Linked DNA regions of Arabidopsis thaliana. The protein of the gene in region 1 purifies or fractionates together with the protein of each later gene. This does not show direct contact. Each region holds a gene or a part of one and is shown on either strand. Other genes may lie near its edges. The genes, in order: AT4G02840, SNRNP-G, AT2G18740 and AT3G11500.

The links.
Region 2: the proteins of AT4G02840 (region 1) and SNRNP-G fractionate together in Arabidopsis thaliana (co-fractionation; one large-scale study listed by BioGRID). This does not show direct contact.
Region 3: the proteins of AT4G02840 (region 1) and AT2G18740 fractionate together in Arabidopsis thaliana (co-fractionation; one large-scale study listed by BioGRID). This does not show direct contact.
Region 4: the proteins of AT4G02840 (region 1) and AT3G11500 fractionate together in Arabidopsis thaliana (co-fractionation; one large-scale study listed by BioGRID). This does not show direct contact.

What each region holds. Positions count from the first base shown.
Region 1 is NC_003075.7:1,260,558-1,268,766, forward strand, and holds AT4G02840 (Small nuclear ribonucleoprotein family protein), read left to right. Parts: upstream 1-4,069; 5' UTR 4,070-4,168; coding exon 4,169-4,182; intron 4,183-4,306; coding exon 4,307-4,383; intron 4,384-4,576; coding exon 4,577-4,606; intron 4,607-5,344; coding exon 5,345-5,536; intron 5,537-5,628; coding exon 5,629-5,696; 3' UTR 5,697-5,902; downstream 5,903-8,209. Other genes in the region: AT4G02830 (uncharacterized protein), read left to right, coding at 1,890-1,985, 2,083-2,172, 2,324-2,480, 3,036-3,125, 3,254-3,375; AT4G02850 (phenazine biosynthesis PhzC/PhzF family protein), read right to left, coding at 5,978-6,085, 6,175-6,258, 6,377-6,538, 6,616-6,945, 7,026-7,223, 7,974-8,012. UniProt on the Arabidopsis thaliana protein: Involved in splicing regulation.
Region 2 is NC_003071.7:10,180,104-10,187,660, forward strand, and holds SNRNP-G (Putative small nuclear ribonucleoprotein G), read left to right. Parts: upstream 1-2,147; 5' UTR 2,148-2,249; coding exon 2,250-2,284; intron 2,285-2,388; coding exon 2,389-2,411; exon of another isoform or gene 2,412-2,657; coding exon 2,658-2,779; intron 2,780-2,860; coding exon 2,861-2,923; 3' UTR 2,924-3,267; downstream 3,268-7,557. Other genes in the region: AT2G23940 (transmembrane protein (DUF788)), read left to right, coding at 4,096-4,179, 4,278-4,471, 4,584-4,668, 4,751-4,816, 4,902-4,994; AT2G23945 (Eukaryotic aspartyl protease family protein), read right to left, coding at 5,126-6,502; AT2G23950 (Leucine-rich repeat protein kinase family protein), read right to left, coding at 7,101-7,466, 7,540-7,557. UniProt on the Arabidopsis thaliana protein: Probable common Sm protein, is found in U1 and U2 snRNPs and may be part of the spliceosome.
Region 3 is NC_003071.7:8,118,677-8,126,885, forward strand, and holds AT2G18740 (Small nuclear ribonucleoprotein family protein), read left to right. Parts: upstream 1-4,544; 5' UTR 4,545-4,657; coding exon 4,658-4,699; intron 4,700-4,799; coding exon 4,800-4,826; intron 4,827-4,925; coding exon 4,926-4,988; intron 4,989-5,709; coding exon 5,710-5,788; intron 5,789-5,875; coding exon 5,876-5,921; intron 5,922-6,024; coding exon 6,025-6,034; 3' UTR 6,035-6,402; downstream 6,403-8,209. Other genes in the region: DGK3 (diacylglycerol kinase 3), read left to right, coding at 300-659, 980-1,102, 1,194-1,331, 1,415-1,500, 1,591-1,678, 1,785-1,860, 1,948-2,030, 2,151-2,221 and 4 more; AT2G18750 (Calmodulin-binding protein), read left to right, coding at 7,151-7,266, 7,417-7,492, 7,583-7,641, 7,722-8,209.
Region 4 is NC_003074.8:3,620,397-3,628,226, reverse strand, and holds AT3G11500 (Small nuclear ribonucleoprotein family protein), read left to right. Parts: upstream 1-5,620; 5' UTR 5,621-5,752; coding exon 5,753-5,787; intron 5,788-5,922; coding exon 5,923-5,945; intron 5,946-6,331; coding exon 6,332-6,453; intron 6,454-6,541; coding exon 6,542-6,601; 3' UTR 6,602-6,622; exon of another isoform or gene 6,623-6,894; intron 6,895-7,102; 3' UTR 7,103-7,265; downstream 7,266-7,830. Other genes in the region: CYCB1;3 (CYCLIN B1;3), read left to right, coding at 1,088-1,127, 1,289-1,659, 1,739-1,840, 1,933-2,519, 2,608-2,752; AT3G11510 (Ribosomal protein S11 family protein), read left to right, coding at 3,361-3,363, 3,660-3,779, 3,867-3,912, 4,010-4,095, 4,178-4,307, 4,403-4,470.

The DNA.
Region 1 (8,209 bases):
TGACTAACTGAAAAACCTACTTCGACTCTTCTTGTTGGGTAGTTATGACTTGTGTAAGCTTATGTAAGCTTTCAAAGACTTGTGTCCAAAGTGGATTTGTTCACCTCCAAACACTTAGTCAACTATTTTAACCATAAACCCATATCCATAAAGCTTAATAATTTTTTCCTAAAACATGAACATTTTCATGGCTCTACTATTCACCAATTATTATAGCATTTTTAAAGCTGGTAGGTAAACTAGATTTGGGTATCCATAAAACCTTAGCATTGGATGTGTTTGAATCTTATTCCTCGGTTTATTTTAATTGAAGTAGATGGTTAATTGTAAAACTATAATTGGCAGGCTAGAGCTAGCCGCCCATACTAATTATTAATTACTAAATTTATCTCCTCGAGTAGTCATGTAGTCTCACGACTAATCTTGATATAGAGAGCCCACTTGAGGTAAAGATCATCAACTAATAAAATCATCTTAAAAGAAGTTCGACGAACTTGGGTTGGTTGGTGAAGGTTGTTAAGAAGAAGTGGCGTCGTTGGTCGTTTGATTTTCCTTATTTTTCAATAAAATTAAAAATATAGAGAGAGATATGGATTATGGGATAGTAGACGACTATAATTAATAAATGTTACTTTTTCTTCTGCCCATTTTTATATCATAGTTAGCTAGAGCTTTTAAAATACAAGTTTACACAAAATTAGACTCAATCCTCGAAAAGTTTTGGTTTCTCATTGAAGAAATACGAATTAAAGTGATTGGCTATATATAAAAGAAATACTAGGATGAGACAATCAATAACAAGTAATGCGAAACAAAATTCGCTTATAAATAACAACAAATTGATAAAATGTGGTTTGTTTTGATACTAGTTTTATGTGTTCTCGATAGAATTGATGTATAGCCAAAAAATCACAACAAAATGATAAAAATATTAGTTTGTAGTTTAGGTCAAAGTTATAGTTCTTTTAAGTTTAAGGAACAATTTAAATTAAAGCATTAAACATTTTAAAAAATGTCATTAAAAATATGAGAGAGGCGTTTACTTAATACAACTCAACCCACTCCCCGACATGACCTCCTTAATCTTTCTTAGAAACTCTATATAATATAACAAAACAATATAAAATACTTCTAGTTCTTCTGGAAGTAAATATCCATATATTACCATGGACTTTGATGCATGATTTTTCAGTTTAAAAATGAAAAAAATCAGTCAAATAATGTCAAATTAGCATGTGAATTTTACGTGGTTGTAGAAAATATGTGAGTCGTAGATAACAATAAAAACCTTTCCATAGTAAAAAAATGTATAGTCTAATAGTTTCTATTAATGTTGACGTTACCTCACGGTTACTACACGGTTTATATGAATAATTGCAACAAACAAAAGCTTCTAATAGTAAAACTTTATAGTCTAGTAGTTTTCATTAATATTGGCGTTACCTCACGGTTACCACGCGGTTTATGTGAATAATGGTAAAAAAAAAACACTTTCCAAAGTAGAAAATGATATGATTATTTTTGTTTTGTTTCGAAAATTTGAAATGAAAGGGTGTGTAACTCTCGTTTCATCCTCGTAGTAATGATGAAACCAAATTCAAATAATAAAATCATTGAAACTCTTCTTTGTTGTCAACATAATAATTAGTTTTCTATAAAACCAAATTTGTCGTCATCATCTCTCCTTCTACTTTCCAAACCCATTAATATTTATAGTTAAGATTCAGGTCAGAAGTTGGGGACAATCAAAACCTCTTCTCTTCTTTCTTTTGTCAACAAAGAAACATTTCCATTGAGTCTCTCTCAATGTTCTTCTTCTTCTTCTTCTAAGATTAATTCAAAGTGTTTAATACTTTTGAAATTTTAAGTTTCTTTTTGGTCAGTTTCAAATGGGTGACATCATCGGTCACAAGGATAGGCAAATATGGCCACCCTCTCATCATGTTCTTCAAGATCCATTGTTTGATCATTCCAACAAACATCAGGTTTATATTATCTTATATCTAAATTTTTTCTATTTGAATTTGTTATTTTTTTCTCCTATTCTATATCGAAGTCGTTGTTAATTAAATTCTCACATAGTTGCAGAAATATGTCAAGAACCACCATCACCACGGCAACGGTGAATTTCGTCGGCCCGGGGCACCTCCTCTTAGACAAACATTTCCTTTGGTATTTCTTTTCAATCTTTTTTTTGGTTACAATCTCTTAACGGTATTGGAGGAAATATCATTATGGACATTAACGTATGTATTTAAACATATCTTATATATTTTCAAACTAAAGCTCAAATATTTTGTATATATATTTTTGTGTGTTGAAGAACTATAATACAAGACAAAAGCACCAAAGCAATTGGCAAAGGAGTAAAGGAGAGGATCGTATGCAAGCATTTTTCTTGGTTACACCGGGCCGTACAACTTCTGGCACCGGAGTTTTTCTTCCAGCCACGGCTTCTCATCCACCCACCAAAAAAACAGGTTATTTATTAATTACTCTATACTAAGTATTTATGAACACAAATAAAGGTGCATAATGTTTTCAATTTCATAAAATCAATTCTACCAACTGCATATACTAAAATTCTTTTAGTTTCAGGTTAAAGTTGATTTGACATGATTTTTAACTTACATTTTGTCGTTAAGTCGTTTTTTTTTTTTTGAAAATAATGTTCAAATTATATTCAAAAGAAAAATAACTTTTTTACAACCACTGCTTCTTGAGATTGAAGATTTAGAGCTAGACAAAATTTAGAAGAATTTGAAAATTTTTGATGATTTTTTTTGTCGTTTTTTGTTTTAAACATATATAAACACAAAAACCTCAATTCTTCGATTACTACGAAATATATCATGGATTCATACATCTATTACCATTTTTTTCTATCTATTTCGTAGCTTTTGTAGGACAATTGACATAAAGAAATTGTGATTTGTTGGTTTTTACGTTAGTCAGCCTTTACTATATAGACTCATTAATATATGATTTAATGTTATACAATTTTGATTGATGAAAACAAAATTCTCTTGTCATAGCTTGCTCACCGGTGCTTCTCCCGACTCGTGTAGTTCAAGCACTCAATCTTAACATTCACAACAACGGTATCCATATTTCTCCTCGTCCAGGTTCTTTTCCAACCATTATTTGTTCTCATCGACCGTTATTCAAATACATTGTGTTATATATTACAAATTAGTTTGAACTATAGATATATTTTGGTTGAAATTGGTAACATTGTTTCTTTTGAATGTAGAAATTAGAGAAAATGATTCGAAGAAGAAGAGCGAAATGTTGGCAACAACACCTATCAAGATTGAAGCAGAAAATCCTATTGATTCGCCGGAGAAACTTCTCCCCGAGGAATGGATTTATTGATGACCCAACCATTAGTATGGAAAAGTAGAATCAAATAAAATAAAATGAAAGATTCTTGTGTTGATGTTACAAAAGAAAAGAAAAGATTCTTGTGTTGATAAGAAAAGAAAAGATTCTTGTGTTGTATGCTTCGTCACCATTGGATTAGTAATAAAAATCCAAATAAGAGACTCTGTATATTCCATTCATAATGTAATATCCCCTATTTTCAGTTGAAAAATTTGCATAATTTAGTTGTCACAATTATTAATGGATTTAGGAAAAATTGGATCAACAATACCAAGATGAATGACTGGATTCGAACACCAACGTTACTATTGGGCTAAAAGGCCGAATCAAGAATACTAAAACCTTTTGTTTTTTTACTATTTAGCTAGCTAATGATGAAATTTTTTATCATTGTATTGTTAATTTTGACTAAACAAAAGTTTTAAACAGTTTTTTTTCAAAACTAAACAAAATGTGATTGATAAAAGATAAATTTCTAAAGTGAGTGATTAGATTCCGCAAATCAGATTATTTGAGTTAATTATTCTGTTTCTTTCATTTGGGGTTGTTTTTGTTCAATAAAAAGTTGAGAAGGGTGTTATTGATAAGTTCAAAACAAATAGGGTATAACCAAACATTCAAGGAAGTAAGAGACCGTCGGTGTGAAGCAGAATCCATAATTGGGGACTTAAACATAAATTCCCCTATTGCTGCTTTTCCTCCTCCCGCTCTTGCTTCTTGCCATTGCTGTTTCGAGCTCTCCTCAAAGCCCTAATTTTCTCCTCTTCTTCTTCATTCTCTCACCATGAAGCTCGTCAGGTATGGTTTCTACTCGGATTCTCTTTATTTCTTCGGTTTAATTGGAATTTGCTTCGAAATTTTGAGATTTCTCTTTGTTTTCATGCTCTTCGATGTTTGATTTCGTATCTGGATTTTTTCGCAGGTTTTTGATGAAATTGAACAACGAAACAGTTTCAATCGAGCTTAAGAACGGAACCATTGTTCATGGAACCATTACTGGTACGCTTCTCTTAAAAACCCAGCTCTATTCGCTGTTTAGGGTTTTGTGTAAAATCTACGATGCTTACCTGTAATCGATGGTTACTCGCGTATTCACAAATTCTGATGGTGTAGTTTGAGTTTAGCTAGTGTCTTTCCCCTAATAATGCTTTGTTGGTATTAACCCTAGTGACACTGGTCAAGTCAGATGCAGATGAGTACACTAGATTTTACTTGAATCGAGGTTTATGAGATAGTTTAGTTCTTCTTCAAACTTTGATCACCCATGAGGTAGTTTACTTTCTCCTTTGATGGTTGTAACCAATGGAGCTCTCGAATTTACTAATTCTGATGTGTAATTCTGTTAATAGACCTAGAAATGCATTGTGGGTGTTGAATCTCTCTTGTTTGCAATAAGTGAATGATAATGGTGGTCTAGTCAGATGGAGATGATACATTTTATTTTGCTTTATAGTTGGGTGTATGAGAATGCTTAGTTCTTCTGGGAGTGAGTTTAGCACATGATTATATATGAGATAGTTTACTTTAGTTTCCCTCTTTATCATTGTGGACCTCTCTTGTTAACAAATCCTGAGGCTTAATTCTGTTATTAGTGATAGTATCTGAAGAAGTTAGAGTTTAGCTGAGTCTTAATTATTTTTTTACCTCGAAATGCTTTGTTGGTAACCCTCTTGTTAGCAAGAACTGAGTGATACTTGTCGAGTCAGATGCAGATGATTAGATTTAGCACATGAAAGTCACTCTTATCTCTTTCCTTGTAAAGAAAATCTCTGATTTTTCACAGAACAGTTACCGTGTGGCTTCTTGTTTCAACTTCTCTTTTAGTCTGATTGATCTAATACAAGTGGTCTCTGCTGTTAATGTTTGGTTTGGTTTCCTTTTTCTGCCATCATCTTGTTTAGAATGCAATTATCAATCAACTCACTGACTGGTACTATCTACTTGTGATGACTTAATGCAGGTGTAGATGTTAGCATGAACACTCATTTAAAAGCTGTGAAACTCACTCTGAAAGGGAAGAATCCAGTTACATTAGACCACTTAAGTGTCAGGGGAAACAACATTCGCTATTATATTCTTCCGGACAGTTTGAATCTGGAGACTTTGCTGGTTGAAGACACTCCAAGAATCAAACCCAAAAAGCCAACTGCAGGTAACAAAACATTTCTTTTTTCTGAACTATGCCTTTGTTTTTGTTTTTGTTTTTGCTTAGACTCATCTTTCTATTGTTCTCTTTGGTATCAGGTAAGATTCCAGCAGGTCGGGGACGTGGTCGTGGAAGAGGTCGTGGACGTGGCCGTGGTGGTCGTTAAGCATTTTGCAGTAATCAAAAGTCTGGTCCTTTTTGGTTTGTAACAGCAGGATTGTAAAAGATCTATCTTGTAGTGAGATTTGGTGTCACTAAGACAAATTCTTGTTATCTCTTTAAGTTTTCATGAATTTGAGATTTGAAACGTTATTGCCAAACATACATCACTCAATATGTTTTATTATTGACTTGATCACTTTATTACATAGTCTGATAAAACGTGGGGAGTTCGAGAAATCAAAATCTTGACCTTATTTTTCAAGACTTTGGCAAAGAGTCGAAAGATTAAACTAAGATAGAGCCTTTCATGACAGTCACAGCTTTCCCGGTAAGCAAGACTCTCTGCTTCTCCTTATCATAATGAACCTTGAGTGTTCCACTTCTTTGCGAAGCCTGAAAAGAAATTCGTTGATTCGTTAATATGTGTGATTATTTCTTGCTTCGAAATGTTAGTTAGCTAGTTACAGAGAAAGATGAATTACCGCAAAAGCGACGAAATCACACTTGTTCATCTTGAGGCTCCAGTAATGTGCTAATGAACAATGTGCACTTCCACATACAGAGTCCTGAAGGAACAAAAGCACCAAGCAAATAAGGTAACGGTAAACACTTTTGGTAACGGCTACCACAAGTAAAAAGCAGAGAATTGCTCCCATGCACGAAGTTGCAGGTTAGTTTCTTAACCTCATTGAGCCCTAGTTTAGGAGCAAAGAGTCGACTGCAGAAGTCAAAAGGAGATCCTTGAGGAGCAGCAGCGGTAACAATCATCACTTTGCCAGGGCATTTCACGATATCATCCACTCTTGGCTGAAATTCAATGACAGATTCCCAAGATGAAAGCACAACCTGTAATCAAATCATATAAATAAGCAAAAAATAGAAAGTTCACAAGTTTTCTTTCTAAGGAAATCTGAAATACATACGATGATTTGGTCTGTTGAAGTTGTTTTGAAAGCTCCTATCAAGGGTTTAAAGATGAGTCTATCAGTTTTAGTTTCTCGAACATCGACAATGGTAGCTCCATTCAAGGCTTTAGAGAAGATGGAGACATCCTTGGAGCTGTACTCACAAGTTGTAATCACAGGGAAATTCATTTCGATCAAGAAAGATCTTTTAGAGTCACAATCAGACAGCCTTTTAGCGGTTAGAATCCCCGAGTTGGTGGAAAATTCGACAGTGTCAGATGAACCAACCAAACTGTTTGAGAAGATACTATGAGCTGATGCTAGTGTTGCATGACCACATATATCCATCTACAAAATCAAATAAATCGAACATTGTACAAAATGGAACGGAGGGAGTAATAAAATACAAAAATGTTTGCAAGATGGACCTCGGCTACAGCCGTGAACCACCTCAGAAGGAAACGTGGTGGTTCGGAGCCGGGGATGGGAATAAGAAAACACGTCAATGGAAGGTCAAACTCAGAGGCCATAGACTGAAGCCACACGTCGTCTCTCTCATGATCCTCTTCAAGAAAACACACTGCAGCTTGGTTCCCCTTGAAGGCTGACTCAGTGAATGCATCAACCTGTGTTTAGCAATACTCGTTCATAAAGAAGAAGAAGATCACATTATCAGAGCAAAAACAAAGAAAAGAATATACAATTACCACGAAGTACTTGACAGGAAAATTCATATCCATTGACGTTTTTGGTTCTATTTTTGCCATTGATGTTTTCGTTAGACCAAAGCTAAACTTTTATACCATTTTGGAGGCTTTTAATTTACAATGCCACTTCATCTTTTAAGAGAAACAGACAATCTTTGTAGGGCAAAATCTTATTGAAACAAATCTCGGCTTTTAATCTTTTTTGTTTTGTTTATATGCTAACAGTTGAATTGTACTCAAATCATTATGAAATCTGCAGCTTTGCAAAATTTTATATTCAGCAAAGGACAGATCTAATCAAGTGGAAGCAAGCACTCATAAAGCAAAAACGCACTTATTGACAAAACAAATATGGTATGTTTATTCCATTATTCTTATGCTAAGCATGTGATGAATTGTGTTGCATAGCTTACTAGTCGTTAAAAATCAAACAAAAATTGGTTAGTCAAAAAGGAACACTCAAACAATAATAACTGATTGATAGTACATGGGAAGATTTGGTAGGTATTCTTAAAATCTCCAAAAAAGGACAGGTAACACTTTGGGAAGCTTACAAGGATAATAACATTTCTAAAAGAAGTACTCAGAGCAAAGTAGAAAGGAAGGAAGTTATACTAGTACATTGCGAGAAACAAAAACCAAAGAAGACGAAGAAGAATATACAATTACCATGAAGTACTTCACAGGTTTCTTCACGAGCATGGCCATAGCTCCTCTTCTTCCTATTGAAATCTACTTATCTGGAAACAATGTGCTCCACGTTCTATTTAATAATGATAGAGTCTCCAGACCAAAAACAAACATTTATTGATAGTAAAATCTGGGAAGATTTGGTAGGGAACTTTGGAAATCCATCAACAATAAATGTATTGTCTGTGAGTGAAAGAGAACTGTTGGAGAGTCAT
Region 2 (7,557 bases), on another chromosome or scaffold:
AACTACACATTTGCAAGCTAAGAAGGAAATAAATTTTGACATGTGCTTGATGTAATTTATGAGTTGTCAACTTTAAAGTATATAGCTAACTGTTGATGAATGATTTATCATTAACATTTTTAAAAAAAATTAGATACAATTTGAAACGTGTAATAAATGATGAGCATATATCCATACATTTTGTTTGTAATGGGTTTCTGATTTATCCACACTTCAGTTTCTGCAAGCTGTGATGTTAGACATGATAAAATCACACAAACAATTCAGAGACATACAAAATCAGGATTGTGAAGCAGGATTTAAAGTATATAGCTTAGTTTTTTTTGTATTTTTTTTTAACAGCAAAATCAATATTCACGTTTTAGACATCAGAAAATGAAGCAGGATTTGCAAGTTTGAGAGTTAAAAGTCAGTCATTAACAAAATCAAAATCTCAAATGCATCCACGATTTATTAATACAACATAAATAATGCAATACGATCCAAAAGAAACTACAAAAATAAAATTTAAGGTTCGGTCTTCTCAAAAAAGATCAAGGTTTTGTCTTCTTGGTATGTCCATCATGAAGTTTCTTCTATGGGACGTTCTTTAAATTTGCATGATATAGATCAAGATGGGTTGTTGCCATATGCGAGGATGATGTTGAATTGCCTCTGCTGGACCAACGTTTCAAGGACACTAAAATTTTAATGTCTTTGGCAGGACCGGCTATAAAATTTTGGGGTCAAAACTCAAACAAAATAATTTAAGATTATTAAAAAAAAAAGTGGAGCCAATTATCGTAAAATAAAAGTATTATTAACAGTATATTGAAATTTTAAAGTCTTGAACCACACTTTTGATCATATGAGATAATATGTTTTGGTGGTGTTTTAAGAGCAAAACTAAAGGAGATGGGAAACTCGATATTTGGTCGATGTGGGATGAGTGTAGACAACTTCAAGGCTGTGAAGATCCCAACACCGGCTCTTACTCCATTTCTTTTCAAAACTAGTCGATACATTCTCATACACAACTTATTATTAATAGGTTTCAGTGTTTTACATCAACCAATTTTATATTAATCGTTTATTTATATTTATTTTGTTGTCGATGAATCGGTATTAGAAATTGAGAGCTTGTGGCATGGTATATCTGTACATTCAAGTATTACAGTGGAGAAATTTTTATTTTGGACTGATATATTGTTGTTATCCCGAGCTAAATTTGTAAATAGGAAACACAAATTGAAACTTATAAAGTAAATCGCGAGAAAAATCAATTGATTATTAGAGAAATACTAAACAATCTGAAATGCAAATCGTTCGCTCAAAGTAAGCTCACGATTACACAACGATCAACATAGACTGCTATTGCTACATCACCAGAGTATTTCTTTGTCTCTCTCTCAACAATCTAGAAAAGCATAAAGCTTATGAGATGTAAAGGTAGAAAAATTTAGAGAAATATTTATCATTTTTCAATTAAAAATATAATAAGAGAAAAATGATAATGCATTATGTTTAAATAATATATATATATAAAGAAAAAAATTTAACCTTGTGAAATTTATAATTTTGTTAGTCTAAATATAGTATATGTAGATAAAATATAAAATTAGTGAGTATAATAGATGTGTCACCACTTACCACTTATTACCTAAATTAAATTCATTATAATGCATATTGGTGGCAGAAAAATTGTATATGTAATGCTGAAAAACAAAATGGTATATGTAATATCATTCGATAGAAACAATTCGAACAATTGGCCGCATTAGAACTACAATGACATAAAAATGTCTTCGTCATTTTAATTTTTTTCTTATCATTTTTGATGTTGTGGTGAAATTTTAGTGTAACTTTTAAAATTTATCGATTGGTGAAATCAAAAATATTTGATCAATTGGTTAGACGCTAAATATTTGATCAATTGGTTAGACCACAACAAAAATATTTAATTAATTGGTTAGACGATTGTAAGATATTACATCAGATTAATAGCGTCTAGAGAATACACTTCGACGAAAAAGGAAAATCACTTAAAAAAAAAAAAAAAAATACACTTCGACGAAACATGTCAATAGTCATATGAGTTGGGCCTTATAGTTTATTGGGCCTGAGTAGATTATTGGGCTTAAAGGAGTAGTAAAAAACAAGAAGACGCTAACACTAGACTTCCAAAAATCAAAACTTTAGGGTTTCAGAGCAAACTCTGTCTTCTTCAAGCCGAGAGCGAAAACCCTAAGCTCAATTCCGATTTTGCAACTATGAGTCGTTCAGGTCAGCCTCCGGATCTTAAGAAGTAAGCCCTTGTTCTTATTTCTCTCTTTCTGTTTCTATATCTTCGTGTTTCTGATTTAATTTTTGTGCTTAATCTGTTGTTTGTTTTTGTTTCGTTCGATGCAGGTACATGGATAAGAAGCTCCAAAGTAAGTTCAATATCTTCATCTTCTTTTATCGATAGTTAGGGAACTTCAGTTTTGTATAACACATTAGCTGAGATGTGATTGCAACTTTATTCTGTGAATCGAACTGGATTTGGTATTACTGATTTTAGTTATAGTGTCTAGAATCGAACTCAAAGTAGTTTTTTTTTGGTGATTGTGTTTTGATTTTAGCAAAGAGTGGATTTTTTCTTGATGTGTTGAGATTGATGAATTGTATTTGAAATGCAGTCAAGCTTAATGCTAACCGAATGGTTACTGGAACTCTTCGTGGGTTTGATCAGTTCATGAATCTTGTTGTGGATAACACTGTTGAGGTGAACGGTAACGACAAAACCGACATCGGGATGGTGGTAAGTCTCTCGATTCTGTGTCCCTTTGTCGTTAATCTTCTGCTGCTCTTGACTGATGTTTTACTTTGGTTTTGGGAGCAGGTGATTAGAGGAAACAGCATTGTCACTGTTGAAGCTCTTGAACCAGTGGGCAGATCTTCTTAGCTCGTTATATTCATTGGTTATGATCTTTTTGTACTAAGCACTAGCTATGAGAAATCTTGGTGGTAGATTCGCAGTTACGATGAATTGATTCTGTAAGAAGTCTACATGAATACTCTTTTCTTGTACTAAAAAGATTGCAATGAACCCCCACCGATGAATGTGATGGCTTGTACTTTTCACTCTTGATACAATGCTCAAACCTCTATTAGTCATCTTCTTAGCTTGGTTTATGCATCCATAGTCATCTTTGTTTTGGTACTAAGCATTAGTTCTGAGGAAACTTGATGGTAGATTTGCAGTTATTATAAATTGATCAAGAAGTCCACATCAATATTCTTGTGCTTTTACTCTGGATCCACTGCTTTGATCTTATATCTTCATCCCTTCTGTTAATGCTTAGTTGCTCTTTTTCTCTTTTTGTAATGAATGAGACTTTAAAGAAGACAAAAAATGCAGACAATGTAAAATGCAAAGAACATAAACAAGTCTTACATGTTGAGTTCATTGCCGAGAGGCTCCCATTTATCATGAGCGATTAGGACGACATCGATTTCAACCATGTTGACACAAAGTTTACTGAACTTGAAACAGAATGTGTATCAAAACTTGAAAATGTGATTGTGTCACTGTCAAGCACATAACCTAAATTTTACGATCTTTCCCAAAGCGCCAAAAGTAAAGCGGACAAGCGAATTCTACGAAACCAACAAGCCGCCACTGTGAGTGTCTCTCTCTCGCTCCCTCTCCCTCCCTCTCCCTGAAAGATTATCATGCTTCTTGTGGTGAAGCTGATGGCTTTTCCTTGATTTCAGTACATTGCAAGTCTTAGTCAGGCACTGGCCTATTGTCATGGAAAATGTGTGATTCACGGAGACATCAAACTTAATAATTTGTGATCATGAGGTATATATGGTTAAAGTGTTTTTGCATTGAGAATTCGGGATATTCATTATTTGCAGCTTCTTGTTAAGGATCCCTCAAAACAACTTTCCGTGGATTGTCAAGAACGCAGATCCGAAAGCTCAATTGGGCCTATTTACAGGCTTAGGCCCATATACTACTAGATTCATCGGAAGCGAAACAGTGAGCGTCGTTGTCTTTTTCAATAACCTCTGCTTCGCCGGAAAAACAAACAGACGACGACTATTGAGAGCTAAAATCCGAGATTAAGAATGGCGAATCAAGGAGCGAAGAAACGAAAGGAAGAGAACGCCAAACACATGGCTAAGCTCCGTCGTATCATCATCGCTTCCAATGTATTTTCTCCTCTCCCATCTATACGTTTCCCAGATTTCTACGATTTTTCGCGATTCTTCATGAATTGAGAATTGGATTTTGTAATTTATGGTCACAGGCTGTGTATTTCGTTGTGAGGATGTTGATTTTCTACTCAAGCTTTACTTGGAAACATTGGATCGGTTTAGTGATAACTTCGCTGGCTTACGCGTTTCCTTATAAGCAGCTTGATCAAATGGCTAAACCTAGTGTTACTGATGATGGTGAGCTTATTGATGGTGGATTTGACATGACCACTGGTGGAATCTGCGGGTACGTTTGTGTTAAATGAATCAACAAGAACCAAAAGCTAGCTTCTGTGTTATGGATTTGCATACTATGATGTTTGAGTTATGCATTTTGAATCATATGATGACCTTTGCAGATATTTGCACGATGTCATCTATATCACTTGCTTTGTTCAGCTAGCTTCCATCATCACTGGGAAGTTTTGGTACACGTATCTTGTGGTATGCGTGTTTGCTTAGTTAATAAACACAAATTGATACATAGAATTGGATTGAAATGATGTAACTTTTGTTTGGTTTTTAGATTCCTGCGTTTGGAGTGTATAAAGCTTCTGGTCTTATTCGAGGATTCATGTCACAAGGTTCAGAGGTAAATCTCATTTAGTTTTAAGTAGTATTAGCTTCTTTACACAATGCAAAAAGCTTTACTCTGTCTCTGTGGCGTTGAACTGTAGGGAGGTGTGGAAGATGAAAAGTCTCGTAAAAAGAGAGAGAAGATGGAGAGGAAAGCTTCGAGAGGGCAAGTCGTCAAGACGAGAACAAGATGAATGTGTTGTTATAGAATACAACATGAATTTGGGGATGAGTATGTTCTTCAAAATATACAAATGTGTTCAAAAGGTAAACTCTCTAAGCTTTCTGAGTCTCTTTTACATGGACATGTCTGCGTGTACAATATTTACTTTGATGGGGAATAGTCATCGAGTTGAACACAGTCGATTCTCTGGAGATAGATGTTTTTTTCTTTGAGGTCGTAACCAATATTATAGTATTGTTGAGCCATTAGCCCTATAGCTGTGAATTCCTTATATTCCCCTCCATGTTCTTTGGTTGGCTTCACTGACATACAAAAGACGTTAAACGTATTCGGTTCTGATAATGGATAAAACATGCTTGTGGCCTCCATAGCCAGCTCAGCTCCGCCTGCAAAATGAAATGTCACCACAGGGAAGCCTATGAGCTCTTCGCTCACTCTCCCATGGTAGCACAAGAAGTCTCTAAACCAGAATCTCTCTAATTTTGGATCCAGAATGGATTTTATTTCATTGTAGAGTTCTCTGTAGGCTATATCTGCTAGCCAAGTGTAGAGTGTGCCCGAGTCTAGTATGACCCCTGTTCTTGGTCCTCTTCTTTTGAATACCACTGGTTCGATATTGAGTTGTGTATCCCCAACACTAATCCCTTCTAGATTCATATAGTAGATACTATTCTCTGTCTCAAATTCAATGGGTGTTGGATCGCCGAGAATATCCGCGTCCTCTCCCAGAACCAGCTGATTGTAACCGTAGTTTTTGTTAGCTAAATCACCAATGCAGTAAGAGAATTTAGACCCAAGCTGTACGGCAAGTGATGTGGGTTTGGCTCCTAACCCCAAAATACCAGTGAAATGACTTTCCAACTGCTCTCCATTCTCGTAGCCACACCCAAAAGCAATAGGTTGGGTCACAACAGTGTTACCGTTAGGTGTTGTGAAGGTTAACCGTTCTTTAGCTAGAACGCCTTTTGACCCAGTGCCGCTTATATACACTTGTTCGTAAACACACTTGTTTGATGAGCCGCAATGTCCGTTTGGTGCATACCTGCAAAAACGATCATCGCAGGAACACTCTACAAATGTTGAAGACAATGCTGGATTGAAGACAGGATGGATCATATGATCTGATGAGCAGTGTTTGCAGGGTTGACATTGGATCCATAAAAGTGAGCTTCCAGTATCCATGATAGTTAACTGCGGCACCGGTGGCTGTCCTACGGAGAAATTCACAAGAAACAATGATGTTTTGATTGCTTGTTCCACATCAACTTGGAAATTGCTGCTGCCTAGCTCTTTGTCAATCGAATTCTGTAGATACTTAAACCGGGCTGATGAAATATCTGTCAGGTGTTTGATATGGTCTTCTGGAGTGATCGGAACTCGAGCATTTGGGTTGAGACGGGCCACTGATTCACGGTGTATCAGCTTCATCGCCATTCGGTTAGGTTTAATGGATTCTGTTACTACAAAGTATGATACAGTGATGAAGAGTAAGAGTGAAGTTTGGAAAGAACATTCCATTGTTGTTGAAACGGTACAGAAACATGGACTTGGGGGATTACAGAGACCATTTTGTAACCTCAAATAAAGATTAAGTTAGGGTAATAGCATCAAGACTGTGATATGAAGAAGAATATAAAAGATCAAAACACAACGAATTGATGACAACAAATAATATCCAAAAACAACCAAAGATCATGAGACTATAAATAGCAAAAGTTTGTTGGGGTTATGTATATAAAAGCTATCATGTACTTTACATCTTTTGTTGTTTTGTGTTATGTTTTTTAGAAAAATAAATTGAACAAAAACAATTAGAAGTACAGGTCAACATATCATTAAGTTGTTGGTCGGTAAATTTTTTGATAATAAGACATGAATCTCAGAGTTTGACCAAAAATTGCTTTCACAGGACCTCAAATTTTACAAATTTGGATAACAGACCAAAACCAACACATTTAAAAAAACCTTAATATATACATCCAAAATATTAACCATTAGACCCAGAATCTCAATTTTTTCAAAGGTTTGATAACCATTTACATGTCTATATCATCTCAAAAACAAAAATTGAAGTCATGGGGATATTATATCTGTTTCTTTCTGTGTCCAAGATTTACTACCTTGGACCAGATAGTTCCATGGCGAATGAATCTAACGCTTGATTATCATCTTCATCTTCAAATCCTGAGGAGCCAAACAGATGTTTGGTTTGGTTGTTGCCATCAGTAGAGGTAATAGTCCTGTAAGACATGTTGGCATGGTAGAAATGTGAATGGTCATGTGAAGCAGCCCATCTCTCAGCTAATCCATCTCCTTCAAGCATCTGAACTACTTCAGACATTTTGGGTCTGTGAGCTGGAAGAAACTGAGTGCAGAGCAGTGCCACTTGTAGCATCTCTCCAACTTCTATTCTATCGTAGGTTGTCCCCAGTTCTCGGTCTACTAGCTCCTCTACTTTCATTTCCTTGTGTAGCTTCCTCACCTGCAAAACTCAATTGAGTTTTAAGACTATCTTTTGATTATACGTTTGATCTAAACTTATAGTGATTGCTTACCCATTCTAGCATAGCTCC
Region 3 (8,209 bases), on another chromosome or scaffold:
TTTTTTCAATATAAGCAAATTAATTCACACGTTTTGTGCGCTGTCTTCGAAACTAAATCATTTATAAAAAAGACAAAACAGACAAGAAAATACAAACTGTCAAAAGAAGATTTTATATTGGTTGATTTGAAATCTCTCAGCAAAGAAGAAGAAGAAAGATTAAAAAAAAACAATCCTTTATTATTTTTCATTTCAACTCCAATTTTGATTATCTGGGTTTCGAATATTCCTCATTTTCTCCAATCACAGGACGAAAAGTAATCATCTTTTTGTCTTTTCTTCTCCGGCGAGAGACTACAATGGACTCTCCGGTATCAAAAACCGATGCATCGAAAGAGAAATTCGTGGCTTCACGACCATCAACGGCTGATTCAAAGACGATGAGAGGTTGTGGACTCGCGAATCTGGCATGGGTTGGTGTAGATAAAGTAGAGCTTCGTCAGAGGTTGATGATGCCTGAGTATCTTCGTCTCGCTATGCGTGACTGTATCAAACGCAAAGATTCCTCGGCTATTCCTGATCATTTACTTCTTCCTGGTGGTGCTGTTGCTGATATGGCTCCTCATGCTCCTATGGTTGTTTTCATTAACCCCAATTCTGGTGGTCGTCATGGTCCTGTTCTTAAAGAGAGGCTTCAACAGTTGATGAGCGAGGAACAGGTTTTGCTCTCACTGAACTTGTATTTCAAATCTTTTTCTTTGGGTTTTTGGGGGAATTTCGAATCTAATTTGTATCTACTTTGTGTTTTGATTATGTTAGTTTGGAAACTTTCTTAAAGTCTCTGGCTTTTAAGTTTTTAATGCTTGATTTATATGTTTATGCTTAGCTGATGTTAGATCTAGTGTTTTGTTGGAACTTTGAAGGATGAGTTACGTTTAAAGATTGAGTCTTTTGGAAAGCTGAGTGATGTTGATGTTGTCAAGTTATTGGTTTGAGCTTTTGATATTGAAACTTCATGGTGACTTTTGTGTTGATACAGGTGTTTGACCTCACGGAAGTGAAGCCGCATGAGTTTGTTCGATACGGGTTGGGGTGTTTGGAGAAAGTGGCAGCGGAAGGAGATGAATGTGCAAAAGAATGCAGAGCAAGGTTGAGGATTATGGTGAGTGTATTGACCATATTTTTCTCCAATCTCTATAGATCCACTTGAATGTTTTTAGCAATCAGAATTGTGAATGGAATTGGTTGGATAGGTTGCAGGAGGTGATGGTACTGTTGGTTGGGTTCTTGGATGTCTTGGAGAGCTTAATAAAGATGGAAAGTCGCAAATTCCTCCTGTTGGAGTTATTCCTCTCGGTACAGGGAATGATCTTTCAAGGAGTTTTGGTTGGGTGAGTTGTGTTTTCTTTGTTCTCTCTTATGTTGTCGTGACAAAACTTTTGAATTGGTACTGACTATGGTATCTCTTCTTCAGGGTGGTTCGTTTCCTTTTGCGTGGAGATCTGCTGTTAAAAGAACACTCCATCGCGCAAGTATGGGTCCAGTTGCTAGACTTGACAGGTAAAAGTCTTATTTTGCTCAAAACATTTAGCTTTTATTGTATTTCTCTTGTTGTAAAAATGTATGCGCTTTGGTTATGTGGTGTTGCAGCTGGAAGATTTTAGTGTCAATGCCATCTGGAGAAGTCGTAGATCCTCCTTATTCTTTAAAACCCGCTGAAGAAAACGAACTTGATCAGGTTTTGCTCTATTTCATTAGGCTTGCTTCTTCTCATTGAATCATCAGCATGTGATTTTGTAAATTGCCACGGTTTAGTAATTAACCAGGCTTTATGGTGGTTTCAGGGTTTGGACGCGGGAATTGATGCGCCTCCACTTGCAAAGGCTTATGAAGGTGTTTTCTACAATTACTTAAGCATAGGTTTGTTGAACTTCTCTTTTTGATATCCTAAACAATTTTCACAATTGTTTTTCTGACCAGATTCTTGTGTTTGTCTGGTTTGTTTAGGTATGGATGCTCAAGTTGCATATGGCTTCCACCATCTTCGCAACACTAAACCATATCTTGCTCAAGGCCCTATTTCAAATAAGGTTTGTTTATTATATTTGCACCTAAACTTTGGACTCATTATTTGTCTTTGTTAAAAGCTAAAGTAGTTATGTTGGTTTTGAGAAACGACATTACCAACCACACAATGTTTGCTTTTGCAGATTATATATTCAAGTTTTGGTTGCAGTCAGGGTTGGTTTTGCACGCCTTGTGTCAACGATCCAGGTTTAAGGTTCGCCATTTCGACTCTTATTGTGTAGTTGAACTTGTGTGTAAGTCTCTGCTTAAGCCCTTTGTTGTGTTGTTGACCCCTTGTTTGTGCTATATGAATTTGCAGGGGACTTAGGAACATAATGAAAATTCACATCAAAAAGGTTAACTGCTCTCAGTGGGAAGAGATCGCAGTCCCGAAAAAGTAAAAAACAGTTTTCGATATATGATTTATGTATTACAATCTTTGATATCAATGCTTAAAACCTGATGCTATGGATTTCTCTTGTAGTGTGAGATCAATTGTCGCATTGAATCTTCACAGCTATGGAAGTGGAAGCCATCCTTGGGGCAATCTAAAACCGGACTATCTAGAGAAGGTATTGTTTCTGTTCCATTTCATCATATATGAACTCAGTTCTCTGATGTTAACCCGAATGTTTTCTTTGGTTTTTCTCAGAGAGGCTTTGTGGAAGCACATTGTGATGATGGTTTGATAGAGATTTTCGGTTTTAAGCAAGGATGGCACGCGTCATTTGTCATGGCTGAGCTCATCTCTGCCAAGCACATAGCTCAGGTAACTTCAAAAGACACTGGTCAATGTATAATCTTTTTAGCCATGTGTTTGACTGTTTCATTTTGGTGATCATTTCAGGCTGCTGCGGTAAGATTTGAGCTAAGAGGAGGTGACTGGAGAGACGCATTCTTGCAAATGGATGGTGAGCCATGGAAGCAACCAATGAGCACTGAGTACTCAACATTTGTGGAGATCAAGAAGGTTCCTTATCAATCTCTGATGATAAATAATGAATGATTGAGATTCAAAGCTGGATTCTTTGTACAAAGCTAATTGTTTTGTATTTGGATTTGATTCAGTTAGTCATAGATATAGCCTAAGCTTTTTAGTCTTCTTTTCTTTTAAATCTGAGATTGTGACCATTTTTCTCTTTTTAATTTCTGCTTATTGTTGGTTTTGTACATTTTTGTGTTGTGAGGAATGAAGTTTGTTTATTTATAAGAATGTGGGAAGATAATATTTGGTCAAATTTCAATCTCTCTTCAATCTTTGTAATTCTAGCATTGAGCACATAGATGTGATTCTTTGTCATATTTTTATTTATTTTAACACTAGTTCGACTGAGAACCAATTTATCATCGACACCAATTTCTAAGTAAGAATATTTTTAATAATTATCATTATTAGTCGTATATTTTTACCAGAATAATAAAAAATTAAAAACCTAAGTTAATAAACCACACAAAAAAGTTTTTCTCTCTTCGCTCTCTCGTAGTTTGTAAAGATAGAAACTGAAATTTCTTTTGTTTTTGTTAACCGGATAGTTTTCCGGTGAGTCGCCGTCCCGTTTAATTCGGGCTTTCGTCCGACATCTTCTAGCTACGTTAGTGGAGATGGTTGGCTTTTTGTATGGCATCGTTGGCTAACTTAGCGACGTTGGCCAGCTTCCGTACGGCAGCGTTGGGCTTACACTAACAGCGTTGGTCATCTTTGTTTTTGTTTTGTTACTTCAAAGGTTTGATGATGAAGCTTTATGGCATGCAGAATCGTCAGATCTGAAGAGGGTTTCTCTTTACAAGATCTATTCTCCTTCTGTTTTGTTTAGCTTCACTATTGGGTTATGCTTTTGGCTCTGGTAGTTTTTCGGCGATGTGTGCGTTTCCAGCAATTACCCTCGTTTGGATCTACCATATTTAAGACAGTTTCAATTTTATTTTCGCCTAAGATTGGGTTAAAGCTTCTATCCTATGCAAATTTGATATGCCTTTAGTGCTTTTGCAAGAGAGTTCGAAGATTCAATGGTTGGACAAGTTTGAACTACTCAATTTTTTTAATTTCTTTACCCGTTTTGATGAATTATTTGTGATTCTAGCAACCATATGAGATTAGGAAATTGATGTTTGTTCTATAACATCTAATTGCCATAATCGGTGATAGAAAAAAAGAGTTTCATTGCTCGGTGCTTTCCCGGCGATGGTTCTCCGATTCACCAGACTTGAGTCTCATCCGGTGGAGGTTGTGGAAGATTCACGTGTCCTTAGCTTATTATTATTGGTCTGACACGTCTTAAGCTTATCTCTTTTTTGTGACGTAAAAGTCTGTTGTGGACCTCATATGTAGACTGTCTTGAGCCTTTTATGTTGTAACACTGAGCCTCAGTATATTAAAAATAAATCTTTCTCTGAAAAAAAAAAAAAAAAAGTTAAAAACCTACGCTAAAAAATTCTAGGTCTTGGAAAAGAGTATTTGGGCCAAATGATCACATTAATTAGTTATGGGCTGAAATAACATTCTGAAGTTTTATGAGGACCGAGAGAACTAAGTTTAAGAAAAATGTTGAAAAAAGCGTATTAGCAGAGGGACAAACGCTTTTTAGGGTTTTAGATTTCCTCTGAGAGAGAATTTTCGAAAGCTTGAGAGAGATTTCCAACTACGTTAGCCATGGCGAGCACCAAAGTTCAAAGGATTATGACCCAACCTATCGTACGTTTCTTCTTCGATTCCTTTGTTCCATCTCTTTATTGTTTCTATCGAAACCTAATTTTGTATCTTGCTTTTTGTTTTCCGGTGGCGGCGGCTCCAGAACTTGATTTTTAGGTTTCTTCAAAGTGTAAGTTGTTCAATTTCTTCTGATTTGCTCTCTGAGGTTTTAGGTTATTAGTAGTTCGTCTACTGATTTGTTCCCTGGTCTTTTGTGTTTGTGATGCAGAAAGCTAGGATCCAGATTTGGCTATTTGAGCAGAAAGATTTGAGGATTGAAGGAAGAATCACTGTAAGTTGATGTTGAAGCTCCGTTATCATGAATTGATTAGATTCCTGGCTTTGTTTATAGGACATTCGAGGGTTATGCTAACTTTAGGAGAGTTTGAAATGCATTAGCAGTGTGACTATCTCTCTAATTTAGTCTGTGTTTGAACTGTTGCATTTGTTGTGAATTGAAAAGGGATAGTTGTCACTGTTACTACTACTGCACAAAGAACTGATAAGAGCCTGCCAATAGAAACTAGTTTGATTAGCTAGCTGTTCTTAGGTTGAGTATGATTGTGTCATTCTCTTCGGCTTAAAACTTATTGTCTCCTACAGCCTACTTGGCTTTGGGTGTTACTTGTTTCAGTTTGTTGCTATGCTTGTAGTTGTATGTCCTCTATGATTTTCGAGTTATGATTCAAGCATTCAAGCTTTTCTTAGTTTGATTCTATGATAATTTGGAGAAACTTGAGATTTTGTGATGGTGTCATTCTCATTGGCTTAAAGGTTTGAGTTGTCTACTTGACTTTTGTTGTTCCATGTTGCAGTCTACTTGACTTTTGTTGTTCCTCGAGTTAAGATCCTAGCTTTTCTGAGGTTGATTATATGTATGGAGGAACATGATATTTGTGATAGTGTCACTCTACTCGGTTTTAAACTTAGATTTTTGTCTACTTGAATTTGGGTGTATTATTGATTCTTCTAGGAGAATCCATCAAACCTTGCTTATCCGTCGTCCTTTGCAGGGTTTTGACGAATACATGAATCTAGTTTTGGATGAGGCTGAAGAAGTGAGCATCAAGAAGAACACCAGGAAACCACTTGGTGAGTTATCCTGAACTCACTCTTTGATAACAAGTCTCAGATCTGTCTGCTTATGGTTTGATAACTCGTGTTAATACCTATTTTCAGGAAGGATTTTACTCAAAGGAGACAACATAACTCTGATGATGAACACGTAAGTAACACAATCTCTACTCTGTCTTCTCTCTTTATGATGTATAGCAGCTTGATTTGTCACATAACAAAAGATTGAAACAAAATCCTTTCTATGTTAACAGGGGAAAGTGATGTCTGTCTCAAACAACTCTCTTCGATGACCTTCAAGCTTATGTTAAATATCTGTTGAGTTCTTCCTCAGCTTAATTGGTACTTGACGATACCTTCTTTTCTTCAATGTCGTATAATATATTGCAATGTAGTGAGTGACAAAGGAGCTTGATCGAATCTAGTGGATTGGTTGGTTAAAACTTCAAAAAAGAGATTTGGTCCCTTTTGGTTAAATCTAGTGTTATGTAATTTGGCTGATCTTTGTTGCAACTTTTTAACCTCTGTTTAAATTTCAAACCTTAAAAAAGTAAAACCAATTGATTTTGATTATAAAAAAAATTGTATCATTTTTGTTTGTTTGGTGAACTGACCGAGTTGGCCATTCTCAGGGCTCAAGTAGATTGAAAGTTTAATTATACTAATAGACCAATCAGAATATAATCTGTTAAAGTTAACATAAAAATACAGAAATCTATGTGAACATTAACTTTTCATTGCAATTAGATGTTTTTATATCCATGTTGATTGTTGAATCTTATCCCTAATCTTGCTATTGGTGAAATGAATGTATTTTTACTATTAAAGTCTTTTTTTAATAACAAATAATTGGACTTTATACAACAAAGTATTATTATTTAATTATCAACTTTAGAATATAGCATGTGCCAAAAATACATACACTAGCCGCCGGCCCAAGAATGTCGTCCAATAAACGAAAAGCAAAAGTGACGGCAATCCAAGCCTACTGTGATCTTGTCCGCACCCGATAACTATCTTTAATTACTAAAACTAGTCAAAGTACTCGACTAATCACAAAACTAGACAAGTGTTTCAAGTAAATTAATTTTTGATCTTTTCATTTTATCTCTCTCTCTTTTTCTTCTATCCAAAACACCATTTTTGAGGTATTTTTCTCTCTCCTTCGAATCGAATTTTCAGGTTTCTCTTTCCGTTTGTTTGAAGAAGCTTTTAAGTAGAATTCATAAAATCTTGCTTAGCTTCTGGGTTTGATTTGTTTGTGGTAAAGTTTTGATTTTTTTTTTAGTTTGAGAGCTGGATTTGTGATTCTTTCTCTGGGTTGGTGAAGTTTTTTACTTGCTTCGATCTTATAGATCAGAGCTTCTAGCAGCGTAAAAAATGCAGACGAGGTATATGGAGAGGACTAATAGTATGAGAGAGAAGAGAAAATTGGAGGAAGATGATAATCAGCAGCAGCAGCAACAGCCTGAGCGTAAAAGGCCAGCTCTTGCAAGGTAATTTGTGTTGATGCTTGTAATTTTTCTGATTATTGATTATGGCGTTGTTGAATCTGTAATTGATTTGTAGTTGTATGAATGAAAAAAGGGTTGTTATGTATATTGATTGTCTGTGGATTTGAGAAAGTTGTGTATGTGTTATTGCAGTGTAATTGTGGAAGCCTTGAAGATGGATAGTTTACAGAGGCTTTGTTCTTCTTTGGAACCGATTCTTCGCCGAGTGGTTAGCTTAATAAGAATTGTTTACATGTCTTTTGGTGCTTTGTGTTGTTTCTTTGGCTTACTGATTTGTTTTGTGAGCATTGTCAAACAGGTAAGTGAAGAGGTGGAGCGGGCATTGGCAAAGCTTGGCCCTGCAAGACTTAGTGAAAGGTAACATATGACTGTTTTAAAAAGAGATAAAATTAATGGTTGGAGTATTTGTGGTTTTCTTCTAATGCTTGAGTTCACAGGTCGTCTCCAAAACGAATTGAAGGTATCGGTGGAAGGAATTTGCAGCTACAATTCAGGTCTAGATTGTCTGTTCCTTTGTTTACTGGAGGGAAGATAGAAGGGGAGCAAGGTGCTGCAATCCATGTTGTACTGTTGGATATGACAACTGGACATGTTTTGACAGTAGGACCTGAAGCTTCTGCAAAGCTTGATGTTGTTGTGCTTGATGGTGATTTTAACACTGAAGATGATGATGGTTGGAGTGGAGAAGAGTTTGAGGGTCATTTGGTGAAAGAACGTCAAGGGAAGAGGCCTCTCTTGACTGGTGATGTGCAGGTCACGTTGAAAGAAGGTGTGGGAACATTAGGGGAACTTATCTTTACGGACAACTCAAGTTGGATTAGATGCAGAAAATTCAGGCTGGGTTTAAGGGTCTCTTCGGGTTACTGTGAGGGAATGCGTGTACGCGAGGCAAAAACAGAAGCTTTTACCGTGAAGGACCATCGTG
Region 4 (7,830 bases), on another chromosome or scaffold:
AACGGCGAGGGATGATGATTCAATTAGATGTGCGAATGGTTTCATCATGAGCTCAAAAACTTTATTTGGCATTTTATAATCTGACTTCGCCGTCAACTCTTTTTTCTGTAATTTGGAGGAATGGTAAATGGATGATGATTCAATTAGATGTGCGAATGGTTTCATCATGACCTCAAAAACTCTATTTGGCAATTTATCTGACATCTCCCATTTCTCTATGTTCAATCCAATATATCTCCTTTATGTGGTTTTAACTCGATATTGTTTTATTGTCTGCGAAATGTTTGATAATGATGAGTTAACTTTTATAGAGTGTTACATAATTATTTTACTTATTCATATTGTAGTTACGCCATTGAAAAACAGTTTGATTGTTTATCTGTTTGGAGTTTGCGTTGATATATGATGTTTATCCCTTTTGTAATGATGTGACTTGCAAATTGCTATGTAACCTCAAGATTAAGCATAGAGTTATTTATTTCGAAGTTTACTAAATTGCATTAAGTAATTTTGTGGCCTTGTGATTTAATTAAGAGACCCATGTTCATTGGATAAAAAGCACTATCTTACAACAATGGTATATTAATAAAGTGAGAATGCTACCTTTCTTGTAAGGTGGTTCATATAAAATATAAATTCAAACAAAAAACGAACGACCAATCTTTAATCGTTTACATGAACTGTGGTGTGCTAATAAGGTGATAACAATATTTAAACGTTGCTTTGACTCCCTTAAAAAAGAAAAGAAAACCAATTATAGGAAGAAATCAAACTCCAAACTTGTCACTAATGGGAAGAAATAAACCAGTAATTAAAACTCGGACCTTGTCATTAAGTGTGTGAAAGGCGTGAATCTTCACAATCCTATAAGACAAAACCTCCTTATCCACCGTTAGATTTAAAGTTCATCATCCAACGGCTAGAAGTCTAATCCCGCTAATAATTTGACCGTTGCGATTATGCTTTTAATGGCTCCTCCTCTCTTCTCTATCCCTTAAGCGCTCTCTCTCAAATCTCAATCATCCTTCTTCTCATCTAGAAACCCCTTATCTTGGAGTAATCAGAGAGTTTGAAAACACCAGAAATCATGGCGACAGGACCAGTTGTTCATCCTCAACCAGTTAGAGGTTTGTTTCTCCCCTCTGATGAATCTTTGTTTTAACTCTAGGATCTGCATAAAAACTCTCATCTATGAATCCTTTTATTTAGATGTTATCAAAGATTGCTTACAAATCTGTTTTCCAAGGATCCAAATCTTGATAGGTTGCTTTTTGTTAAAATTTATCAGGTGATCCCATCGACCTCAAAAACGCAGCAGCAAAGAATCGTCGTGCTCTTGGCGACATTGGAAACGTCGATTCTCTTATTGGAGTCGAAGGAGGAAAGCTTAACCGCCCCATTACTCGTAACTTTCGTGCTCAGTTGCTAGAAAACGCACAAGTTGCAGCCGCCGCTAACAAAAAGGCTCCGATTCTTGATGGAGTTACTAAGAAACAAGAAGTTGTAAGAGCGGTTCAAAAGAAAGCAAGAGGTGATAAGCGTGAGCCGTCAAAACCAATCGAAGTGATTGTGATAAGTCCTGATACAAACGAGGTTGCTAAAGCTAAAGAGAACAAGAAGAAAGTGACATACTCTTCGGTTCTTGATGCTCGAAGCAAGGTAGATTCTTTGTTCAACATTGAAAGCATAATGTGCAAAGTTCTGATTATTTGGTTTTGTGATTGGTGTACACACTTAGGCTGCTTCTAAGACTTTGGATATTGATTATGTCGACAAAGAAAATGATCTTGCTGCTGTGGAATACGTTGAGGATATGTACATTTTCTACAAAGAAGTTGTGGTACACTTACAGTGAAACCTTCTTTTGTTTATGCTTATGGATAAGTTATGTGAATGTCTTCTTTAAGTTTGTTGTTTTGTTCTTTGTTGCAGAATGAGAGCAAACCTCAGATGTATATGCATACACAACCTGAGATTGATGAGAAGATGAGATCAATCCTTATTGATTGGCTTGTAGAAGTTCATGTCAAGTTTGATCTCTCCCCTGAGACTCTTTACCTCACTGTCAACATAATTGATCGTTTTCTTTCTCTGAAGACTGTGCCTAGAAGAGAACTACAGCTTGTAGGTGTTAGTGCTTTGCTTATAGCTTCGAAGTACGAAGAAATCTGGCCTCCTCAGGTCAATGATTTGGTATATGTGACTGATAACTCCTACAACAGCAGACAGATTCTAGTGATGGAGAAAACCATTTTGGGGAATCTTGAATGGTACTTGACAGTTCCAACACAGTATGTGTTCCTTGTGAGGTTTATTAAAGCCTCGGGTTCTGACCAGAAACTGGAGAACTTGGTTCACTTTCTAGCTGAGTTGGGTTTGATGCATCACGACAGTTTAATGTTCTGTCCTTCCATGCTTGCTGCATCAGCGGTCTACACAGCAAGGTGTTGCTTGAACAAGACTCCTACTTGGACTGATACACTGAAATTCCACACAGGCTACTCCGAATCTCAGCTCATGTTAGTCTTCTTAATTCTTTACACTAGCAAGTTTGTGATCATATTGTTTGTATATTAATTCTCTATGTGCGTTTCTGTGTGTAATCAGGGATTGCTCAAAGCTTTTAGCTTTCATTCACTCGAAAGCGGGGGAGAGCAAGCTACGTGGTGTGTTGAAGAAGTATTCGAAACTTGGAAGAGGTGCTGTTGCTCTGATTTCACCAGCCAAGTCTCTTATGTCATCTGCTCCATGAACAAGGCTTGAAAGATGGCTCTCTTGCAAACTCTGCATTTTAGATTCTCTATCTTTTATCGTTTTATATGTAAAGGTATTGGTTCTTGTTGAGAAATGATGTTTCCGTATGAATTCAAAAGTATTATAATGAAATTCTTCTTCTCTTCTATAATCAGAATCGTTTTGGTCCTTTTTCCCATCATATTCTTTAACTATGGAGTCAAATTCAAATTACATAGTTATCTGTTATAACTTGAAAACTTCTTTGTTCTTCATAAGACCAAGTACGATGGTACGATCAAGGTGAAGTTGTTCACATTTGTCAAATAATAATTTCCAATAAGAAATCTGGTGAATTTTGTTACTTGTCAAAAAAAAATCAAGAAAATTAACAAGACTAATAGTAATAATCGAACGACGACGTAATGTTTAAGAAAAAAAAACACCAAACGACGACGTAATGGGTAATGAAAGTGATGAGGGTATTTACGTCAATTCATAGAGGTACTCCGATGTAACCCTAATATATAACGTGCATTTGTAGCGCCGTGAGTGTCCTTCTTGTTTACACTGAGCAGAATCTAAAAACACTTATCGTTTCGTCTCTTCTCTGATCCATTGTTGAAGATGGTAAGCTCTTTCTCTCCAACATTTTTCTGTGCCAGATCATTTGGTTTTCGTTAGTCTGTTAGGAAATTGAGATCTGCGATTTCACTTAGTCCTGCTAGTTTCCGATGTTCCATACTTATACGTTTGTTTCAGCTATGCAAAATTGACTTATTGATCTTGGCTTGTCTGATTCATAGTTTAGGGGTTGTCTGATTAATCTCCATGTATTGATATTGAGCTGATGGTATGTAATTATGGTTAAATACCAGTGAACAATTTGTTTCTCAAATGTGTTTTGTTCTCTCTGTATATAATAGTCGAAGAGAAAAACTAAGGAGCCAAAGGTTGAGACTGTGACTCTTGGACCTTCTGTTCGTGAAGGAGAGCAAGTTTTTGGTGTTGTTCACATCTTTGCATCTTTCAATGACACTTTCATTGTAAGTTTTTTCTCATTTATTCTTAGCGTTTGTGTAATATAACCTTCTGTGTAATGCGTTTATGACATTGCTTTCAATATTTTGCAGCATGTGACTGATCTCTCCGGTAGAGAAACTCTCGTCCGCATCACCGGTATGTTTCCTAGTAGTGAATTTTATTACCTGTGTTTATGTTAGTGTAAAATTCATTTATATTTCGAGAAATATAATGATTATGTGACCTTTTGCAGGTGGCATGAAGGTGAAGGCTGACCGTGATGAGTCCTCTCCTTATGCTGCTATGCTTGCAGCTCAAGATGTTGCTCAAAGATGCAAGGTCTGAAATGATTCGATGTCCATGCCTTTTTTTAATTGACTTTGAGGTTCTGGATGATAATCTATAATGGTTTATGTGACAGGAGCTTGGCATCACTGCCATGCACGTGAAGCTCCGTGCTACTGGAGGAAACAAAACCAAGACTCCAGGTCCTGGTGCTCAGTCTGCTCTTAGAGCCCTTGCTCGTTCTGGCATGAAGATTGGTCGTATTGGTAAACACACAAACTTAGTCTCACTCAAGTTGTTTTGTTTTGTTTTGTTATGATTGCTCATTGGAAGCTGAATCTTTCTTGAATGCATTTTGCAGAGGATGTGACTCCGATTCCCACAGACAGTACACGCCGAAAGGGTGGACGAAGAGGAAGAAGACTCTGATTGCACGATGAGGCTCATCATCGTTGCAATGTGCTCTTGAGACTGTGGGTATTTTCTTGGGTACACTTCGAAGTTAGTTTTGTCTCTCTCCAATTTATCTTTCCAGTTGCTTTGAGAACATTATAAGCTGTGTTTTTTTGTATTTGGAGTTTTTGGTATTGAGAAAAAAAATGTTAAGTTACTGATCGCGTCGTGTTACTGTTAGTTGGCTTATTGATATTTTACATTTTCTCTCTTTTTAACTTTGGCGAATGGATACTTTATCGAGATATTTAATGCTATGGTTGCTCATCAGAATCAGATTAGAAAGTCCGATGCAAGTTTTAGTATGTCGTGCTGGTTCCGAAATCAAACCAAGCCAGATCGTTGTTAACTTGTCATAATCTGTTTTTGAGGCCCAATTATTCAACCAAAAAAGTCAATTTTAAGAATGAAAAGAGTTGATTTGTGGCATGTGGTGAATGCAATTAACAACTATACGAGAGATTGTATGATAAAGACATCAAATATCCCAAGTCCGGCTTTTGGAATTCTTGATTAGAATGTTATCGCTTAGATTGTGTTGAATGGCATCTCTTGCAAGAAAAAGAAAACAGATTAGCAGATTATGATCATATATTTCTTATTAGCCCTGAGCTGTTAGTGCATTATAAGCATCAGACCCCACTTATAGCCTCTTGCAATGACTTAAAACTCATCATATCCTCATTTCTTGATGCTCTTGGTTGTTATCGAAGACATAAACAACATGGATGTTTAAAGAATGCTCTTTTATGTTCTTTAGTCTCTATGAGGAGCCATATCACAGGCAATATTTCCTAGTAAGGAGAAAGGTTTGGTAATTAATTGATGCAGTGGGTATCTTTCTTTTAGTTTTATGGCTTTTGACTACATGTAATTCAGATAATTTTGGATGGGTAATCACAATTCAAGATAAATTGTTATAAATAATTTAGTAATATAAATGACTAAATATCTCTAATTAGTAACACCGGGTGTTTGGTCTAGTGGTATGATTCTCGCTTCGGGTGCGAGAGGTCCCGAGTTCGATTCTCGGAACACCCCTACTTTTATGTTTTGAAACATGTGAAAGGCTTTTTTTGCGGTCAAACCCATTAACAATGGGCTTGAAACGACGGTGCTTCGACCACTCTAGTTTTGCAGACCGACGTCATTTTTTTTCTTTCTCTTTCGCTCTGGAGACTGGAATCAATCGAGTAAAGTGTTCGTAGCTGAGAAAAACCCTAAGCTCTCGTTTTTCGTCTTCTCCGATTCTGCAAGTATGAGTCGATCAGGTCAGCCTCCAGATCTCAAGAAGTAAGTTCTCTTCGCCACTTTTTTCCTTTTGATTTCTAATTTCTCTGTATCCATTTAGTTGAAGTTTTTGGTTTCATAGAGCTCCTACTTCTTCGTGTTTCTGATTTTGTTCTTCGTTTGTTTCATGTAATGCAGGTACATGGACAAGAAACTCCAAAGTAAGCTCGATCTCTTCTTCCACTTTTTCAATTTTAAAGCGTCTTTAAGTCGAACCTAAATCTCTTACTCAGATGAGAATTGCTTGCAACCCGATTTCTCAACTTAAGAGCTATATTAATGCCATTTCAGTTCATGTATTACTTGGGATTGCGTGTTTTTGTGTACTAATTAAACTTGTGTTTACAATTCCAATATATAGATTCAATGCTAATCTTGGTTAAGAATATATCAATGTCACATAAAGTTAAGAGTTGTATGGATTCTTAGGTTTTGTATCTCGTTCATTTAGAATTTTACTAGACTTTGTTTGTTATCATGTTTTTGTAACTTGGTATGGTCAAGTGAAGTTCTTGTCTGCTTTTTTTTGTTGTTACCCCCAATGTAGTTAAGCTTAATGCCAACAGAATGGTTGTTGGAACTCTCCGTGGCTTTGATCAGTTCATGAATCTTGTTGTGGATAACACTGTTGAAGTCAATGGTGATGACAAAACTGACATTGGGATGGTGGTACGTTTCTCTCCATCTCTCTAACTCACCCACAGAATCTTCTTGTCATTTGTTTTGTTTAAACATTCTACTTTTTTCCTGGATGCAGGTGATAAGAGGAAACAGCATTGTTACTGTTGAAGCTCTCGAACCAGTTGGAAGATCTTAGCTTATGACTTTTCACCCCCAAGTAATCATCTTCTGTAATATGAGACTTTGACTTACTTTGCTCTCTGTACCGGCATGAATCAATCTTGATTTTATTTGATGAATTCCTCTTCTTTGGCTCCTCTACTTATGTCATTTTACCCTTGTTCGGTCCTGTTTGTTCCCTATAGATTTTTCTGAACCCTTGATTTGATGGATACAAGGAAATTTGGATACTTACTGTCCTTGTGTTATAATCTCTTATCATATGTGTTAGTCAGGTATAAGTTATATAATCATTTCAAGTTAGAGAAATCAATGTAGTAATGAAAAAGCTAATTTTGAATGGTCCAAACCTTAGAGAAAGCAAAATACTTTTGTTGTGGGGATCTGAATTTTGGGTAAATGAGCTCCAACGGTTGTTTTTCTTTTGCTTTATTAGTATTTTAAACCCTTTTTTAGCCCTCTTTTTATCAAAGTGAGATCATAATCATGCCGTTTGGCTCCTCTGTTACTATTAAAGATGTTGTTATATGAATAAGAAGAAGCTAAAAGAAAGAAAAGGAGAAATAAGAGAAGTGAAAGTGGAAGGAATCAAGGAAGCATGTGCCCCACGAAGTATTGTGTGTGAGGCAAAATGAATGAAATCGGTACAATATCTATCAATCTCCAATGAAACAGCAACAACAACAACATGTAACCACAACGGAATGTTCGGCACGTGGGTCGTCGTCGGCACACACGTGGGGTGGGCTTTGTTCCAACTTACATTCATATCAAGTATTATCAACCACAAAACTATGAGTTGAAATGCCTTTTTTGGTAGAAAAGTAGGTATTTGTGTTTTGTCTATAAATTCTAAATTATTTTCTGTCCAAGTCATTATACAATTTGATGTGTTTTTTAACATTTCGTGGTCGGGGATCTCCAACTAATATAACAAGTAAACGAATTTTAAACACATGGATTTACAACTAATCCAAAAAGAACTTTCACCAACTTCACTTTCTCTTTTATTCTTTTCTCTTTGGTTTTTGGGGAAGAGAATAGAAAGAGTACGAGAGATTGCTTCTTTCTAAATTCTAACGGTAAACAAATATTACATAAAAATGTTAACCATCTTCGTATATTATTCTCATGGACCATTTGCAAGTAACTAAAAGATTCACTTTAGATGCAAGCTGTTCAATGAACTTCACCATCCTTTTTTTTATTTCTTTCAAATTTGATTTTACAATATCAATCTCATTT